Caenorhabditis elegans: one gene and its partner. The protein of the gene in region 2 interacts with the protein of the main gene of each other region in a pairwise test. Each region holds a gene or a part of one and is shown on either strand. Other genes may lie near its edges.

Evidence for each region. Proteins that work in one complex are often made in the same cells at the same time.
Region 1: the proteins of lrp-1 (region 2) and dab-1 interact in a two-hybrid assay, tested with the Caenorhabditis elegans proteins (one study listed by BioGRID).

The regions. Positions count from the first base shown.
Region 1 is NC_003280.10:8,220,426-8,228,424, forward strand, and holds the start of dab-1 (PID domain-containing protein), read left to right. Parts: upstream 1-1,962; 5' UTR 1,963-2,050; intron 2,051-5,890; 5' UTR 5,891-5,904; coding exon 5,905-6,013; intron 6,014-6,294; exon of another isoform or gene 6,295-6,415; coding exon of another isoform or gene 6,416-6,476; intron 6,477-6,522; coding exon 6,523-6,578; intron 6,579-6,631; coding exon 6,632-7,051; intron 7,052-7,127; coding exon 7,128-7,768; intron 7,769-7,813; coding exon 7,814-7,961; intron 7,962-7,999. Other genes in the region: ifg-1 (MIF4G domain-containing protein), read left to right, coding at 1-312, 359-584, 656-817.
Region 2 is NC_003279.8:7,612,536-7,617,180, forward strand, and holds the start of lrp-1 (Low-density lipoprotein receptor-related protein), read left to right. Parts: upstream 1-1,640; 5' UTR 1,641-1,735; coding exon 1,736-1,826; intron 1,827-3,493; coding exon 3,494-3,664; intron 3,665-3,800; coding exon 3,801-3,932; intron 3,933-4,000; coding exon 4,001-4,122; intron 4,123-4,177; coding exon 4,178-4,316; intron 4,317-4,365; coding exon 4,366-4,602; intron 4,603-4,645.

The DNA.
Region 1 (7,999 bases), on a different chromosome or scaffold from region 2:
TTCGAATACTGACAAGACCGACGATGAGCTGACTGAAGAAGAGAAAGCTGTCAGAGCCAAGATTATGAATACCGTTAAATCCGATCTTCTAGAAATGTCTAGTGGTGAGCTCTCCCAAAAGGAATTGGTTGACTCTATCACCGATTATGTTGGAAAAGAAAAATACGGTTCGCCGTCATTGACAGTAGTCTATGAGATGATTATCCGAGCTGTGATCGAAAAAGGTTTGAAGGATGATGATCGAAAGAAGTTGGCTATTGCTCTGCGGATGTCATTGGTCAGCAAGACTGAGAAGCAAGCTTTTATAGAGGGGTAAGGCAAGAGTTTATGATTTATTGAGCTTTACAAATTATTTCAGAGCTACCCGTTTCTGCAAATTCGCTAATGATGTTGAGCTCCAGCAAGATTATCCCAAATTGTGGACCGTTACTGGTGAAGTTCTCGTGAACACAAGTCATGCTCCACATGACGAAATTGGAGAAGTTGAATCTTTCTCATTAGCGGACATGAAGCCAATTTTCTCAGCTGCCAAAGGAGAAGGAAATAAGAAATTTGACCTTCTTGTTCAAGTTTTGAAGCAATTGGTGAGTTATTGCAAATTTTAGTGCTCAGATTCAGTACATTGCGTTTATTTTTTTAATTTAATTTTTTTCAGATCGAGCTTGAGCTTGAAGTGACTGGCGCTGCAGAAGGAATCTCGTGGGAGTTTTCGGACATGAAGTTAAAGACTGAGATGGAAGAAGGACTTTCAGCAGAAATGGAAGCAGTGACGTTTAAAAATGGAAAAACGTTGTCGAGCTATTTGACGGGCAACTAATTTATCGTATTTTTGGATTTTCAAACTCCACAGTAGATTTATAGAGAACTTTTTTGTGTGCTAAAACCCATTTTAATTATCTATATAAGAACGAGTTGTTGATAATACGGTCTAAACATGTCAAGTTTTTCGTTTTTTCGCCGCGCGTCCATCCCTACCGATTTTATGTCTTATTGGGTATCCCATTAATGGTTTTCGATATTATTGCTTGTTTTTCTTTTGTTAGAGGTTTGCAAGAAAAGTTTCAAAATGAATAACTGATTATCATGATTTAGCTGAAGTAAATCAATTTTCAGACATTCAGATCATTTTTCCTGCAAACTTCCGCTCATTCTACAACTCGTCTCGAAACGTGAAGATTCTCTTCATTTTTCGTTTCGAGACGCAGAAATCAACTCGTTATAGCCCCTTTCCCACCCACCTTACCCTTTTCTTCTGATGATCACTAAAAATATCACGTTTTCCTCCAAATCATTAAATATTTATATCCTCATTTGGATTCCCGTTTCGTTTATTTGCTCCCAGTTCCCATTTCTTTCATTCGTTTTTCTATTTGAATAACCCTTTCATAGTCTCCTTGTTTATTGTTTCTAAATTAGCTGTTGGTTTTTTATTGGTTTCTCCCTTCATATTTCCATACCAGTTGGTCCCGAGAACATTTCTTGCTATGCTTGTTTTCGTGCTTAAAGGGTCTTTTCTAAGAGACGGTCGAAAAGTCGCTGAATTTTTTCGGAGTGCTGGAATTTCGTTGAATTGCATCGAATTTATCGTAAAACGAAGACTTTTGACTAGCTCTTAGCTTCATTTCTTTTCCAAATTTCCTAATTGTGTGTAAGTCAGTGCCTTCGGTCTGATTCCTGGATCTTCTAGAAATTGTGACAATTGGTTAATTTTAATATCCTCTCATCAGCCCATCTTAAATTTTCCACTTCCTTGAATTCTACGTTTTTCCTGTTTTAACTAATTGTCCTTCCGTTATTATCATCATCACCACCTCCACCACAAATAAAAATGGGCATCAAAATTGTTTTTTTTTTTTTTCATCATAGTTCTTGTTGGGGTTGTTCCCCATTTATATAGCTTGCTCTGTTTTCTCATCAAATGCTCACAGTTTTACGTTGACTCGATTTTGAATAAATATTTAGGAAATCGTGTCACTGGCGAATGTAAATGAAATCTAATATGAGAAGGAATAATATAAACAGTAATCGAGAGAATTTCGCCGTTTCGCAGGTTTGTTTGAATTTATTTAAAATTTAGACCTATAAAATTAAATAGTTTTTGAAAAAATTTGCTACAGTAACCTTTGATCTACCCGCGCAAATCTCAATTCTTTTTTCGTTAGAAACTTCATTCATCTTTCCTTGAGACAGGTTTTCAATTTTTGTCATTTTTCTTTACATTATAAAATTTTAAACTTTATTCTCGATCTGCGTAGTAATGGTGATGCTTGTCGAGGTTTGCGACAATGAATAGAAGAATAGGCAACTGATTTCTTTCAATTTTATTCGCTTCTCTCTCTCGTCTTCGCCTCAAAACTATTCTCTCAGTCTAAGACAAAAAACTGGTCTGGACACAGTGACTGTATGCAGAGTGTTTTTAACCCTTTTCTACCTCTCGTGTGCGCGCACGCTCACATACACACGCGGAGGATGTCCGTGAAGAAAAGAAAAGTAGAAGAGGATGAGAGACGTAGACATGTCCAGCATGCAGCATTAGTAGGGGTCCCTCTTCAGTCGATATTTGTCTCAATTTGAGTGGAGGCAAAGGAAAGCCGGCTTTTTTGGTGATCTGATCCTGTCAGTTTTATTTATGCATGATAAAATTAGTGGTTTCTGAGGCGTCCTTTTTTAAGAAAACTCGAATATCTTAATTATAAAATTATAAAATATCATTCAATATCCCTAGTAATGAAATTTTCTACCTTTTTATCTGAGTTTTTAGACGAAACGATGCGGGTTTTAAAAGAGTTTTGGAGATAAATACATTCTGTTTCCAAAAAAATTAACGCTTCGTACTGAACCATATTGTTGACATGGTGCATAGTGACATGGTTTCCCGTTTCAATAGAGCTTAGTATAGTAGTAGTTAATTAATCTACATCTTCTCTGTATGCTTTGTAGTAAATAAACATTATTTTACTTTCTATTTTAGAGAACTACCATTGGTACTCACAAGTTTCGTTTTCTTGTCTCTATTATTTAGTTTCCATGATCTTCACAATTTTGGTTTGAAACCATTGTCCATGTTTTTTTTTCTGCGCAGTTTCGGGTAATTATCCTGTCCCGCCGTTCGTCCCCACCCAATCCTCCCGTCAACACCAAAAAGCGTTCGTTCCGCTTCAATTACTTGAATCGATAGATGTTATTCGTCAATCCTCGTGGTCTCGGCACGAAAAGTCCCTCGCTTTATTCACCGTCCCTCCCACTCATGCTTTTGTTTAGATGAGTCACTATTGTTTCTTTCCGCCTACTACTACTGACTCGGCTGCAATTTTGACCTCAACTCCAATTACTTACGTGTTCGATCGATTTGGTTAGTGTGTCCTTCAGATGGTATTGTTGTGTGTTGAAGAAGTATAACACATTTCTTATTTCGCATCTTTTATTGTGTGTTCATATTGGAATTATAATCCCTTCGTAGTACGGTCTCTTTCCAATAATTGTTTTGATGCTTTTGAGAATTTTGGGTGTTTCTCTTCTCGATTTTTTGTTTTCAATAACAACAACAAAAAGAAATAAAATTCATTTTTTCGAAGTTACTTTTTGTGTTTTCAACGGTCACCTTCAATTTCCGCTCCGAAAAAGAACCTGATTTTCATAAAACGTCCGCCGCCGCTTCGTCGTCGTCATCAACAGAATTTTATCATCGCATCAGACTTGAATAGAAGCGAAAACGAAAAAAAAGACATCATTATATTAATAGTAATTTTCTAATGATGGCCATGATCACAAGTGTGTTGAGATTTCTCCGATTAGTAGATGTAGGAGACGTTGATGATGATGGTGCTGACGAAGTATTCAGTTAGATGAACGTTATTCTGCTTCTTTTCATTCTCATTCTTGACGCCTGCTTGTTTTCCGTTTCTCCGGTTTTTGGTTTGCCTCATTTGAATATATGCTACAGTACTCGACATGAGTGTAAATACTTAGGTTTCCGTATCTGACAGCTAAGCTTATTACGATTCCCGACGGATTTGACATTAATAGACCTAGCTGCATTAATGTTGTTCCTTTATTTTTGTCCTTATAATAATGCTGAATAAGAATGATATTTTAATTATTTTTGAACCGAACAAAAAATTTGCGTAATGTGCAGTACCCTAAAACGATTTCAAATTATCCCTATCGATTTGAAAGTTTTTGAAATATTTTGGTAAATTACGCTGGTTAGGATATAATTATTATGTTGCTATTCACTGTTTCCCAAGTTTTCAATTCGATACTAACCCATATAAAAGAGAAACAAGATTTTTCTTGCCTTCGTGTCTAACATCTTCTTCCAATATTTCGATTTTCTTGCCCATTTTCCCATCCACTGTCCAGGTGACGCATTAATTCAACGCAGCAAAATGTGAAATCAAGATGTTACGTAACGGGGGATCCTAGCCTAGGAATCATCAAGATCAGAGAGGTAAAAGGACATCAGATAGAGGCAGATAAATTCACAAGAGACTGACTGCAGCTGTCTTTCTTTTACGTCATGTTTGCAAAATGACTGGCGGCATCCCCGAAGGTGTGTGTGTCCTGTAAATCTAGTAGTCAAGCACACATTGAGTTTTGGAGGAAAAGGAGGAGTGTTCCGGCGAGTTTCCGCGCGGAAGAAGAGAGTGTGAGAGCAACTTGATCGTCTGGTTGCTGAGCAAAGCTACGCACACCTTTTGGCCATGTTTCCGTCGTTCTGGCTATTGTTCCATATTTGTATTGATTTTCCCTATTTGGTTTAGTCATGAAATGTTTCTCTGCAAAACTTGACGACATTACCTGATTGTTGGTCAACAAATCTTCTTTATTTTTGTCGTTTTTGTTACACATAAGAGTTTTGGGATCGCCCAAACGATTTCCGATAGTTTTATGGCTGATTTCTCTTGATTTCGTAATAATTCAGATCCTCACAGTTGTCGTATTCTCCAGTCAACACAGTAGTGACTCACTTCGGTTTGGATGACTAACAATGTCAATCTGTTTTCGTTTTCTTTCTTCTACTGTGATTTAGTGTTCTATTATGCATTGACTATTACAATAATTAAGTTACAGTCCTGATCTCGATTTTATGAAACTAACTACATCACACACTACGTACTCCCATTCCTGTCAAGATTGTAATCAGCTGATGTAAAAGAATGTCCCCTGACCGCAAAATAAATGAAGAACAGTCTATTTTTCTTAGTTCAAGGTTGACTGTAATAAAATAAAAAAGATTGAATTGAATATTTGTAAAAAATCAATTTCTCGGCTTCATAGAATTTTTCGCCAGATCTTACGCGCTCGGTCTCGCCACGCGGACAACGGGTTACTGTAACTCGTATCAACTTTAGATTACGTCTACGTAATGATCTCGCGTTTTTTGAAATATTATTCTGAATCATGTCATAAATTAATTAGAATATATCGTCGCTCAAATTGGAAAGGTGTGTCTTCAAAATATTTGTCAGTATGAAATAACTTTATTTACCTAAGAATTATTTTCAAGATTGCATAGTGCTTTTGAAAAGTATTGCTATTTGAATCCGACATTTTTTCTTATTTCCATTTCGAAAGTAATAACAAGTACATATCCAGTGTCAACTTGTCACCTTGAAGTATGAAAAATGACTACTGCACTTTTTCACGGTCGTCTTCATTTTTTTGTATTCTTTTATTCCGATATGGAGATGAAAACCGGTCGATCATGTGCCCCCAAGGGGGCTGATCATGATTTCACCCTCCTTTCACACTCTATCCCCCACCACCACCTCACAATTCTTTTTGGTCTCACTTTCGTTCCAAAAAGCTTTGTTATACTCTTAGTTTTCTTTTACTGTAATTTTTAAATTCTATTTTTTTTTCGTTGTAATAAATCTTATTTCTAAAGGTTCTCTCGAAACAATGGCTCAAAAGTCGGATATATCAGTGGAAACGGCAAATGCAACATCTGGAAAACCAAATCCACCATCACCAAAGTCCCGACTTGCAATGCTGAAGAGAACCAAGAAAGGTGAGAACATAGCTGAGTTCCGAAAAAATGATTTCTCAATTTTTGAGAGTATCCAATTGTGAATGTAGAGATATCAATTTGATAATTTAACGAGAAGATAGCCTTTTTGCCAATTTTCAACAGATAGATAATGTTATCTTTTTGTTATCTATAACATTTTCAGGAAAGAGTTCAAAGTTTATTGGTTCACTCTTTCTTTTCCCCCAAAAACTTGTGACAATGATCTGCCAAGCAGAAAGTTTGCTCCTTTCTTCTCTGCGTCTCACTTCGTTTTCTTATCTCTTTACGCTCTCTAGCGCCCGCTCTATGTGATTTCTATATCGATTTCTAACGAGTGTTTGTATACTTTTAAACTCATTAATAGATTTTGCAAATTTCATTTTAAGTGAATACCTAATTATCATGAAAAAGACGCAATTAGGGCGTTCGTTTTCCAAATCATTCAAGCAGAAAAAGGCGCGGGGTATGATTTACTCTATAATTATCAATCTAAAATTTAAACTTTTTAGCATCAAATGCATCATCGGATCCGTTTCGCTTTCAAAACAATGGAATTTCCTACAAGGTGAGTTTTTTTTAATGATTCATGTAGTAGTTTTTGTAAAATTGTTATTTCAGGGAAAGCTGATCGGAGAACAAGATGTGGACAAGGCTCGAGGAGATGCAATGTGTGCTGAAGCAATGCGAACTGCCAAGAGTATTATCAAGGCTGCTGGAGCTCACAAAACACGTATTACTCTTCAAATCAACATTGATGGAATCAAAGTTCTTGATGAAAAGAGCGGCGCTGTTCTTCATAATTTCCCAGTATCAAGAATCTCTTTCATCGCTCGTGATTCTTCTGATGCTCGAGCTTTTGGACTTGTTTACGGTGAACCTGGAGGCAAGTACAAGTTCTATGGAATCAAAACAGCACAGGCAGCTGATCAAGCAGTTCTTGCTATCAGAGACATGTTCCAAGTTGTTTTTGAAATGAAGAAAAAACAGATTGAGCAAGTTAAGCAACAACAGATTCAAGATGGTGGAGCTGAAATTAGTGTGAGTTTTTAGAATAATTCCAAAGATCCAATGCATTTTTAAATTATAAAAGTCCATTGTTATGACTTTATAAAAGTTCCAGAGCAAGAAGGAAGGTGGAGTCGCCGTCGCTGATCTTCTCGACTTGGAATCCGAACTTCAGCAAATTGAACGAGGAGTTCAACAACTTTCAACTGTCCCGACAAACTGTGATGCCTTCGGAGCATCACCATTTGGAGATCCTTTCGTAGACAGCTTCAACAGTACAGCCACGTCAAATGGAACTGCAAATATGTCTGGAACTCAAGTGCCATTTGGAGGACTTCAACTTCCACAAGTTCAACAAATGCAGATGCCAATGGTTCAAATTCCTCAACAATCTCATCAGAATTGGCCAACATCCGGAGCTGGATCATTTGACGCTTGGGGACAACAACAACAGCAGCAACAAATGCACCATGCTCATAGTACACCTGCTTTCGGAACAAACGGATTCTCGGATACTAATCCATTTGCGTCGGCTTTCAATACTCAAGCTCCGCCACCACCACTTCCAACTGTTGCTCCAACACAATACCGTGATCCATTCTCTGTACATTCCTCTGCTATTCCAAATTCAAATATTGATTGGACTGGAACTGGGACTACGAAAGAGAATATGGCACCATCTACTAATATCCAACAACAGCAGTCATCATTGCATCACGCCAGCACTTTTGCCAACTTTGGAGATAATAAGTGAGTGATATTCTAAAACCTAAATTAATAATAATCAAAAACAAGATTCAGGGCCGAAACCTGGAGTGAAAAGAAGGTGACGTCGCTTGAAGAAGCTTTCACGAAATTGGTTGATATGGACGCATTGGTTGGTGGACAGGGTATCAAGGAGACAAAAAAGAATCCATTTGAGCATATCTTAAACCCACCAAAGGTACAATTTAATCTATTTTACTAGCTTTTTAGTTTTTA
Region 2 (4,645 bases):
ATATGTGACTTTGCTTTAAACTACTCCAAAGTCGAAAAAACTCACAATTGGATGGAGCTTGATTCGAGAATTTGGATCCGCAGCGGCAAAAATTCTATAATTATTCTTCCCTTTGCGTCTTGATAATAAATACGGTTTCAGGTTTTTCCAAAGAAAAATAATGCATCAAAATAGCTAGTGTGAAACTTACGCCCCACCGGATCCAAATTCCTGAATGAAGCTCCGCGACTTTTTGTACCAAATTCCAGAAGTGACAGTCGACCTTTAAACGTGCTCTTTATGTTTTTCGATGCTGATTCTTCTAGACTTTATCGAAGACTGAATAAATTAATTACTATAGTTTCATTCCCCACCTGGAAAATAACGGCAGTTTTCATGTTGAGGCTTTCCATGCGCCTTTAAACGACGATTCACCATTTCCCGAGTTAATAATAATCAGAACCTATCAGAGAAAATGTATTTTTTAGTCCCATGGTCCTGATATGGTGCTTTATGTGACGTGGCATTTTCCTTGACTCCGCCTCCTCGTATCAAATTCATTAATCAGTTATATGGGGGGACGGACACAGTCAGCAGGCCTTCCGAACAGGTTGACAAGGGATAGATATGTATGGGGACGGGAGGACTATTTGGTGAGAAGAGGGGACAATTCTCGTGATGATCACCTTATTTTATCTTTTCAATTTTCCCGCCATCGATTGTTCTAGAATCCCAGAGATTTGGCGAATATTTTAGTTTTTCTCCTGAAATTGATCGAACTATAATATGATATCTCTTCTTTCTTGATTTAATTTGTCATGCGTCAAGATTATTATTCAAATCAACAGTTAAACTATTGCTACTTAAAAAATGTTATTTTTTGAAAATGACTTTAAATACCTGAATCTTGAAAACAATGTTTATTAATTCAAACTAGTTCTGCAAAAATTTCAAAATACCATATCACAAGTCTAATAGAAAATCACATGCTATCTCCTAAGTTAGTGATAAATAAAACACTTTTATTGCCAATCTCTTTCTAACCAAATTATTTTAACTGTTTTCATTTTTATTCGTATTTAACTTCGATTCAGTTCTTTTATTATTTTTATACTAATCTTCGATATTTATATCTCAGTTCGTTACTAGAAAAACCTTAAAATTTAGAAAATCAATATGTTATTTCCTCTAATAGTCGTGCATCTCATCACCTAATTTGGACATCCGAATTCTCGGGTTTTACCAAAAAATTGTCAATTCACAAAATATTGATGATTTGTTTACCTTCAATTATTTAGGAAAACAGTTATTAAATGAAGACTAATCGAGAAAATACGGTCAGATAAGAATAGCCAAAATATTATTCAATTTTTTTATCCAACCAAGAGTTGAACCGACCATTGATTTTGAAAATTTGGTAACAGTTTAAGCCAAACAGGCAACTTGGAACTTGTGAGTAAACGAAATACTTTAAGCAGTGTAAGTATGTGAGCTTCAGGCGTACCTTCATGCCTAGCATCTCTCTAATACCTGCTTACCAATTCATATCAATTTTTAAACTTTGATTAATTATGGATCTCCCCATTTGCCAGACTGCCTTCTTGAATATATTTTCCCCTTTGCCTCTAGAATCCACCAACTAAATTGTTTTTAATTTTCAGGCGCAGCCTCATAACTCCCCCGCAATCACATATATTTTATTCACAATCATCCATAATTAATCACCACCATCAAATGCTTCGAGAATAATTAAAAAATGATTCTGAGGTTGCTCATTTTCACAGCGTTGGCTGTAACAACCGCCAATTCAAGTACGCGGCAACAGTCAACGTTTCATTCAATTCAAGGTGAGAAGGTTTTGTATTTAAAATCGATAAAAGTTCTATCAAGTTAAAAACAATTCTGTTTTTTTTTCTGGTTTCAGATAAATTTTTTTATTATTATTTCAAAAATCTGTAATTTTCTTATTGCCAGGGGTAGTACTCCAAATATTTATATTCTATAATTGTAAATTGTAAGTCCGAATTCTCTGCACCATTTTATGATTGAAAATAAAAAAAGTTGCATTCTCTAAATTCTTTTAGATTGTTAAAAACTTTCTATTAAAAAGGTTTCTGTTAAGTGACAATCTTTCTGAAAGATTTGGGCTTTTGTAAAATTGGTTTAAAAAATATTTACCGTTTTCTAAAATTATGAATGGCAGAGACTGAGTATTTGCCATTTTTTGACTGGAAATTAATATTATTTTGAAAAGTTTCAATAATTTCTTGACTGGCGTTCAAATAATTTATTTCCCGTAGTTTTTTTTGTTGAAATTTGGGCCCTGCCTCCAGACATTTCAAACTTGACCTCTCTACATATCACCAAAGATAGAAGCACAAATGTTCACAAAAAAGGTGCATAAAAAACAGGAAAAGCTCAAAAGGTGTTCAAGAGTGACCTATGTGGAGCATTGCTTCGTGAGGTTCGGCGCACTTTTGTCTGCACGAGAAGCATACTCGCGCACCTCATAGCACAAATAATGTCTCTCTCTCTCTCAATTGGAATAGAGAAAAGTCTCAGAGTTAGAACAACAAACCAACAAAAGTGAACAAATATATGATAATATTCGACAAAGGAATATACACTATTAAAAACATTAATTGTTCCAAGAATTTCGAGGTTTTCATGATCTTTTCACATCTTATTTTAAAGATGGAATAGCGCCACTAGGGAAAATATTTAAAAGAATTCACAATGGTTTTTGGCAAATCAGGTCTTTTTCAAAATTTACCAGCAACATTAAAAATTATTTCCAATTCATTCAAATATTTTCCTTTTTTCTACTTTTTGTTTTGTTTCAAACAAAATTTGTCATCATATTTTTCCTCGCCTCCGAAGTTTTCAAGCGGTGTAAATTAAAGTGTGATTAGTATTTGTTTGTTGATGTGGTTACTGAATGATACAAGTTTTTTTGACCATCGTTTTTCAAACAATCATTCCAAAAAAAGTGACAAAAAAGGGAGGAAAACTGGCTTCAACCCCATAGATGACCACTACACCGTGTCAAACATTTGATTTAGTTTTAGACAGCTTTTGGTCTGCCCTTGTGATGTTTAATCTTAAGTTACAATGTCAAAAGGATAGAAAGATCGGATAGTAGGGTTTCCAGTCGTTGTTCCAGGAGTGCGCGGAAATTAAAATTATTTTGCAATTTTTCTTCCTCGTTAAAATAATTTGGAAACTGTAAAGCAAAGATTTTGAAAAATGATTCAGAAAAATCAACAAAAAGTATTTATTTTTTATGTAGAGATTTCGTTCATCTCTTTGAATTTTTAAATGTCAATAGGCTTGGTATATCACAGAACAGTTAAGTACCGTAACTTTTGGAATATTTCAGAGCTTTTTAGAAATCAATGTGATGAACAATATTTTCTGCCAAAAATGTTTAACATTTAAACGAAAACATGCAACCCCAAAAAAATGGAACAATACAAATTGACAGTAGGCTGAAAGCAATCTAAAATTTTTGCAGTTGACTCACCGCCATCAGTTCGTTCTCGAATAATATCTGCATCAGTAAACACAGCTTCATCAGTATGCAACGAGAATGACTTTAGATGTAACGATGGAAAATGTATACGTACCGAATGGAAATGTGATGGATCTGGTGATTGTTCAGATGGCGAGGATGAAAAAGATTGCCGTAAGTTTGAATATAAAAATGTTCCCAAATCTTTTGGTCTGTTTCAAAAATTCATTTCTACGAGACTAATTGCGACAATTTTTTTGCGAAAATAATAAAAGTTGTTAAATTCTCGAACCCACTCCTCAATTTTCAGCACATCCTGGCTGTAAATCTGATCAATGGCAATGTGATACCTACACATGGCACAGTGTCTCATGTATTGCCGAATATCAAAGATGTGATAACATCACTGATTGTGCAGATGGATCAGATGAAAAGGATTGTCGTGAGTTTTTTGCTTTAATGTTCAAATTGAGAAGGCTTATTTATAATAATCTGAATTAAAATTTTCAGCTGCTTCAACTGTGGACTGCAGTTCCCAAAATGTATTTATGTGTGCTGATGGGAGACAATGTTTTGATGTGTCGAAGAAATGTGATGGAAAATATGATTGTAGAGATTTAAGTGATGAAAAGGTAATTTTCAACTTAAATTAGTTATTTTTTTAGTTATTCTTAATTATTTTCTCAGGATTCTTGTTCCCGAAATCACACAGCCTGCTTCCAATATCAATTCCGTTGTGCTGATAAGACTCAATGCATTCAGAAATCATGGGTTTGTGATGGATCGAAAGATTGTGCTGATGGATCTGACGAACCTGACACTTGTGGTACATACCTGAAAATTAGAAGTTTCTTTCTGAAAATATGATATTTCAGAATTCAAAAAGTGTACGGCCAATGAATTCCAATGCAAGAATAAACGTTGTCAACCTCGAAAATTCCGTTGTGATTACTATGATGATTGTGGTGATAACTCGGATGAAGATGAATGTGGAGAATACAGATGTCCACCTGGAAAATGGAATTGTCCTGGTACTGGGCATTGTATTGATCAATTGAAACTTTGTGATGGATCAAAGGATTGTGCTGATGGAGCTGATGAGCAACAGTGTTGTAAGTTTTTCAATTTAAATAAAATGAAGTAGGTAGGCTTGAA